2 linked regions of the Macaca mulatta genome follow. The protein of the gene in region 2 binds, or shares a complex with, the protein of the main gene of each other region. Links are inferred from orthologs where the notes say so. Each region holds a gene or a part of one and is shown on either strand. Other genes may lie near its edges.

Region 1 (3,566 bases), on a different chromosome or scaffold from region 2:
CCCCGGAAGAGCGAGGGGTCGAGCTGCCTAGAATCTGTCCTGCTTTCCAGGCAGCCCATCTGGACCGGCTCGGGGATAGAAATTCGGGTTTGGTGTGAAGCAGCTCTTTCCAACTCTCTGGGCTCTTGTTTTAAAAGAAAAGCATTCTTCATCTCTCATTCCATCTCCCCACCTCGCATCGTGTTGTGGATTGTGGTGGTGTCAGACCTCTTCCCACTGGGGTGTTACTCTGGGGCCTTTCTTTTCCCGAGTGAGGACCAAGGTGTCCCCGCTGGTCGTGCTGTATTGTAGTTGCTGGTGCTGCCCTGAGCACTACCCTCTGCCCCTGAGCCAGTGCGCCTGGGGCAGATTAGTCTAAATCAGTCCCTTTGGAGGCTCTACCCAGCAGGACTTGTAAGTAAAGCACTCAGTCCAGATTGCCCTTTTGGAAGAGGCCAGCATTCGGTAGTAGTGAGTTTGACACCTTGCTTTTCCCACCTCCCGCATGCGAGGACCTTGATGTGCTGCATCCACTTGGCTGGCTGCTGTGTGCCACCGCCACCAGCAGAGTGACCCAGTGATGTCTGTCTGTTACAGATCACGGATACACAACTCTAGCCACCAGTGTGACCCTGTTAAAAGCCTCGGAAGTGGAAGAGATTCTGGACGGCAACGATGAGAAGTACAAGGCTGTGTCCATCAGCACAGAGCCCCCCACCTACCTCAGGTAATGCGTTCCTGGCCAAGGCATCTCTGGGGACATCTGTGGGGTCTTTTCTCAGACTCAAGAACTGGTTGGGTTGAAGTTAAATTGAAACACCTTTTTTTTTTTTTTTTTTTGAGATGGAGTCTTGTTCTTGTTGCCCAGGCTGGAGTGCAGTGGCACGATCTCGGCTCACTGCAACCTCTGCCTCCCAGGTTCAAATGATTCTCCTGCTTCAGCCTCCCAAGTAGCTGGGATTACAGGTACCTGCCACCACACCTGGCTAATTTTTTTTTTTTTGAGATGGAGTTTCACTCTTGTTGCCCAGGCTGGAGTGCAGTGGCATGATCTCAGCTCACTGCAACCTCCACCTCCCGGGTTGAAGCGATTCTCCTGCCTCAGCCTCCCGAATAGCTGAGATTATAGGCATACGCCACCATGCCCAGCTAATTTTGTATTTTTGGTAGAGATGGGGGTCTCTCCATGTTGGTCAGGCTGTTCTCGAACCCGACCTCAGGTGATCCGCCCGCCTCGGCCTCCCAAAGTGCTAGGATTACAGGTGTGAGCCACCACGCCTGGTCCTAATTTTTGGATTGAAACACTTTTTAACCGTTCCCTCTGTTTTTGTACATTTTCTTAGCCAGATTTCTAAGTTTCTTCTGTATCATTGAAATTTGTAAGAAACGTAAGCCAAGTCCTGGATTCCAGGGAACAGTTATGAATGCTTGGAAAGCGGGACTCTGCGAGGCACAGTGGCTTACGCATGTAATCCCAGCACTTTGGGAGGCCGAGGCATTGCTTGAGGCCAGGAGTTCAAAACCAGCCTGGGGCAACACAGCAAGACCTCATCTCTTAAAAAACAAATAAGTGGGACCAATTTGTCAGAAAAATTAGTGACTCACATAAACTCACAAAAGAAACAACAATAGATTTGAATGTATAAAAACTTAGAACCTGGTTGGGAGTGGTGGTTCACGCCTATAATCCCAGCACTTTGGTAGACCGAGGCGGGCAGATCACCTGAGGTCGGGAGTTCGAGACCAGCCTGACCAACATGGAGAAACCCTGTCTCTACTAAAAATACAGAATTAGCCAGGTGTGGTGGCGCATGCCTGTAATCTAAGCTACTCAGGAGCCTGAGGCAGGAGAATTGCTTGAACCCGAGAGGTGGAGATTGCAGTGAGCCAAGATCGCACCATTGTACTCCAGCCTGGGCAACAAGAGCGAAACTCCATCTCAAACAAAACAAAACAAAACAAAACTTAGAACCTTTAGAAGAGTATTTATAGGCCGGGCGCGGTGGCTCAAGCCTGTAATCCCAGCACTTTGGGAGGCCGAGACGGGCGGATCACGAGGTCAGGAGATCGAGACCATCCTGACTAACACAGTGAAACCCCGTCTCTACTAAAAATACAAAAACTTAGCCGGGCGAGGTGGCAGGCGCCTGTAGTCCCAGCTACTCAGGAGGCTGAGGCGGGAGAATGGCGTAAACCCAGGAGGCGGAGCTTGCAGTGAGCTGAGATCTGGCCACTGCACTCCAGCCTGGGTGACAGAGCGAGACTCCGTCTCAAAAAAAAAAAAAAAAAAAAAAAAGAAGAGTATTTATAGTAACAATTAAAAAAGCAAGTAATTGGAAAGTTACAATGTTATATCTAGAATCTATACATCTAGATTTATACAACGAACTTGGATACCTCAACAAATAGATAAAAGATGGTCCATACCTTCAAGTACAAGGGAGTAAACAAACATGGAAAGAATTTGCCCTCGTGTAATTTCAAAAATTCCAACCATAAGACTGAGCATGGTGGCTTATGCCTGTAATCTCAGCACTTTGGGAAGTCAAGGCAGGAGGATCACCTGAGTCCAGGATTTGACTCTGTTGCCCAGGAGACCAGCCTGAGCAACATAGTGAGACCTTATCACTACTGAAGGTTAAAAAAATTAGCTGGGTGTGGTGATCACACCACTCTCCTCTAGCCTGGGTAACAGAACGATACCCTGTCTCTTAAAAAAAAAAAAATAGGCTAGGCATGGTGGCTCACGCCTGTAATCCCAGCACTTTGGGAGGCTGAGGCGGGCAGATCACCTGAGGTCAGGAGTTTGAGACCAGCCTGACCAACACAGTGAAGCCCCATCTCTACTGAACATACAAAATTGGCCGGGCATGGTGGCGCATGCCTGTAATCCCAGCTACTCAGGAAGGCTGAGGCAGGAGAATGGCGTGAACCTGGGAGGCGGAGCTTAACCCAGGAGGCAGAGGTTGCGGTGAGCCGAGATCGCACCATTGCTCTCCAGCCTGGGCAACAAGAGTGAAACTCTATCTCAAAAAAATAAATAAATAAGGCTGGGCGCAGTGGCTCACACTTGTAATTCCAGCACTTTGGGAGGCCGAGGTGGGTGGATCACGAGGTCAGGAGGTCGAGACCATCCTGACTAACATGGTGAAACCCTGTTTCTACTAAAAATACAAAAAAATTAGCCGGGCGTGGTGGCGGGCGCCTATAGTCCCAGCTACTCAGGAGGCTGAGGCAGGAGAATGGCGTGAACCTGGGAGGCGGAGCTTGCAGTGAGTCAAGATTGCGCCACTGCACTCCAGCCTGGGCGACAGAGTGAGACTCCGTCTCATAAATAAATAAATAAATAAATAAATAAAATAAATAAATATAAAAATTCCAAGCATAAAACAAAAAACTGGCAATGTAAGGAATTGGGGAAGGTGTGATGGAGCTGCGCTCATGTGTGCTGGAGGTGCTGGGATTACAGGTGTGAGCCACCGTGCCCAGCCAGGAGTGCCCTTTTTGTAAAGCATCCTGACATCAAACTTTTTTGTTCTCTGGCCCACTAATACCACCCCTAGGAATTTGTCCCAAAGAAATATTTT
Region 2 (3,566 bases):
GGCAGGAGAATGGCGTGAACCCAGGAGGCGGAGCTTGCAGTGAGCTGAGATCCGGCCACTGCACTCCAGCCTGGGCGACAGAGCGAGACTCCGTCTCAAAAAAAAACAAAAACAAAACAAACAAAAAAAAAGAAGTAACTGGGGTCTCAGAGCCTTTCTCCAGGAGATGAGTCATCACCAGGAGGAGAGATTTGCACACTGGGGATGAGCTGGACCCTGGCAGAGCAGAGAGTGACCAGACCAGATCTGGGCCCAGGCCCCTCATTTGCCACTGCTGTCTCTTTGACTTACCCATCCGATGCCAGCTTTGCAAACGGGCGGTCCACGGGCCTTGTGCTGGACAGTGGGGCCACCCACACCACGGCCATTCCAGTACATGACGGCTACGTCCTGCAGCAAGGTGGGGCTTCGGCAAGGGGCAGGGGCGCACCAGGAGGACGAGATCCTGACACTGCCTTCCTTCCAGGTATCGTCAAGTCCCCTCTGGCAGGGGACTTCATCTCCATGCAGTGCCGGGAGCTGTTCCAGGAGATGGCCATTGACATCATCCCACCTTACATGATCGCAGCCAAGGTGGGGCCTCTGGGGACACAGAGCTGCCACTAGAGTCCTGGCCACTCGCCCCATGGCCGTCAACCCGCTGACACACGAGATATCAGAGCAGAGAGCAGCAGGCTCCCCAGTGGGTCCTGGCTCCAGTTTCTCCTTATATAAGTGAGGCATCTGAAATCCAGACAGGCTGAGGGATACGCTGAGGTCATGGAATCAGCTAGCAGACAGCAGGATGTGTGAGGGCCAGTGTGGTGGGTTCTAGGGTTCAATATAAACCCAGGTTCAAGTTCTGCCTCTGCCGTGCAAGAGCTGTGGGACCGGCCGGGCATGGTGGCTCATGCCTGTAATCCCAGCACTTCGGGAGGCCGAGGCAGGCAGATCACTTTGAACTCACTTCGAGACCAGCCTGGGCAACATGGTGAAACCACATCTCTACTAAAACTACAAAAACTAGCCAAGTATGGTGGCACATGCCTGTAGTCCCAGCTACTCAGGAGGCTGAGACTGAAGAATCACCTGAACCCTGGAAGCAGAGGTTGCAGTGAGCCGAGATCGCGCCACTGTACTCCAGCCTGGGCGACAGAGTGAGACTCTGAAAAAAAAAAAAAAAAGAGCTGTGTGACCAATAGCATGATATCAAAGCTCCCTGGGCCTCAGTTTCCTCTTCTGTAAAGTGGAACGGTAATAGGCAGTAGCCAGGGTGCTGTATGAAGTGACACTGTGTGCTTAGCTCCGTCCTGTGCCCTCACGTGGATCGCGGCCCCCTAGGAGGCCATTCTCTGGAGATTCTGTCACTGCTGTATTCCTGGTGTTCTCCAGGTCAGCTGTATCCACTGCATGAAGGGCACACACGGAGAGAGAGGCATGCCCCATTCTCTCTCCTGTCCATCAGGAAAGGGTGAGAAACCCTCTTGCAGGCAGCACAGCAGAGCCTCCAGTGCCAGTTAGCTGCAGAGCTGGGAACAGTGCCAGGAAGGTGGGGTAGGGGTCAGGGTGGGCTAAGAAAGGGTGTTCCTACGCTTTGTCCCCACAGGAGCCTGTCCGGGAGGGCGCCCCCCCAAACTGGAAGAAGAAGGAGAAGCTCCCCCAGGTCTCCAAGTCCTGGCATAACTACATGTGTAATGTGAGCCTCTGGAGAGGGTCCCCTGAAGCCCCCTCCCCTGCCGTGAATGGGGGCGAGGCAGGGGCCTTGCATGGGAGGTGGAGCAGGGAGGGGGAGCTGGGCGGGGGGTGTTGCTCAGGAGGAACCCAGGCCCTCATCACCCTCACTGGGATTTCAGGAGGTGATCCAGGACTTCCAGGCCTCCGTGCTGCAGGTCTCAGACTCCCCCTACGATGAACAGTGAGTGTGGCTCAGGGCTGGGGGGTGGGAGAAAGGGCAGAACTGGGACTCCTGGGGTGGGCTGGGGGACTCTGGTGCTGTCCACCCACTGATCCCTCTTGAGCACCCCAGGCAGAGTCCTGCTCCCTTCTGGGCAGGGTGGCTGCACAAATGCCCACAGTGCACTACGAGATGCCCAATGGCTACAACACAGACTATGGCGCCGAGCGACTCCGCATCCCCGAGGGCCTCTTTGATCCCTCGAACGTCAAGGTTTGGCTGTGTGGCAAGGACTGGGGTGGGTGCTGGCTGCAGTCCTTGGATCCTGGGGCGTGGGGGAGGCTGGGAAGGATTGCAGGGACTGGGGGAAGGGGGAGAGGGCCCACAGCCCCAGTCACCTCTCTCTGCAGGGCCTGTCGGGGAATACCATGTTGGGTGTGGGCCACGTGGTGACCACCAGCATCGGCATGTGTGACATTGACATTCGCCCGGTGAGGCCAGGCCGGAGCTGAGGCTGGGCAAAGGGGCCCAGGGGAAGTGGGAAGGCAGGGTTGGGGGGCTGTCCCCCGTGGCTCACTCCTTCTTCCTGCTCTCAGGGCCTGTATGGGAGTGTCATTGTCACCGGCGGGAACACACTGCTGCAGGGCTTCACTGACAGGCTCAATCGAGAGCTTTCCCAGAAGACCCCACCGGTAGGAGCCCACCCCTGACCCAGTGCCCCAGAAGCCCATCCTGGCTCAGCTGTCCAGGACTGAGTCCCCCATTCTTCCCATGTCCTTCCTTCTGTTCTGTCCACCAGAGCAGAACCCCTGCCCCTGAGGCTTCCCAAGTCTTCCCCCTGCCCCCCAAGCCCTGTCCCTTCCCAGAACCTAGGTGTCTGCTTCCCCCAGCCCCTTTTTACCCCCAGAGCATGCGACTGAAACTCATTGCCAGCAACAGCACCATGGAGCGCAAGTTCAGCCCCTGGATTGGGGGTTCCATCCTGGCCTCACTGGTGAGAGGAAGGGGACCTGGCCTAGCACTGACTGTGGGGGACAGGGGAGACCCAGACAGCGCCCGCCACTTTGCCTGCCTCTTCATTCATTCATTCATTCATTCATTCAACGAACATTTATTTTTGAGAAATGTCGGTCAATGAATGTTCCCAGAAAGGTGAACAGGACACAAATTGGGGGCAGGGGCCCAGTACAGTGACCCGCACCTGTCATCCCAGCACTTTGGGAGGCTGAAGTGGGAGGATGGCTTGAGGCTAGGAGTTCAAGACCCAGCAGGGGAACATAGCAAGACCCATCTCTACTTTTACAAATTGGGGAGAAGAGGCCGCGCACGGTGGCTCATGCCTGTAAACCCTGCACTTTGGGAGGCCGAGGCGGGCGAATCACTTGAGGTCAGGAGTTCGAGACCAGCCTGGCCAATACGATGAAACCTTGTCTTTACTAAAAATACAAAAAATAGCCAGGCGTGGTGGTGTATGCCTGTAATCCCAGCTATTCAGGAGGCTGAGGCAGGAGAATCTCTTGAACCCAGGAGATGGAGATTGCAGTAAGCTGAAATCGTGCCACTGCACTCCAGCCTGGGTGACACAGTGAGACTCTCTCTCAAAAAAAAAAAAAAAAAAAAAAAGGAGTAGAGGGACAGGTAGTTGGAGAGATTGGTCAGGATGAGATTTTGGTGAGACACCCACTGTGTTCAG

Evidence for each region. The genes of interacting proteins can lie anywhere in the genome.
Region 1: ACTL6B (region 2) and SMARCB1 share a complex: the UniProt entries of both Homo sapiens proteins name them as parts of the BAF complex. The link is inferred for Macaca mulatta from reciprocal best matches to the Homo sapiens genes ACTL6B and SMARCB1.

What each region holds. Positions count from the first base shown.
Region 1 is NC_133415.1:27,973,356-27,976,921, forward strand, and holds part of SMARCB1 (SWI/SNF-related matrix-associated actin-dependent regulator of chromatin subfamily B member 1), read left to right. Parts: intron 1-576; coding exon 577-706; intron 707-3,566.
Region 2 is NC_133408.1:47,852,112-47,855,677, reverse strand, and holds part of ACTL6B (actin-like protein 6B), read left to right. Parts: intron 1-305; coding exon 306-400; intron 401-466; coding exon 467-573; intron 574-1,585; coding exon 1,586-1,675; intron 1,676-1,832; coding exon 1,833-1,894; intron 1,895-2,031; coding exon 2,032-2,146; intron 2,147-2,283; coding exon 2,284-2,364; intron 2,365-2,469; coding exon 2,470-2,565; intron 2,566-2,763; exon of another isoform or gene 2,764-2,780; coding exon 2,781-2,867; intron 2,868-3,566. UniProt on the Homo sapiens protein: Involved in transcriptional activation and repression of select genes by chromatin remodeling (alteration of DNA-nucleosome topology).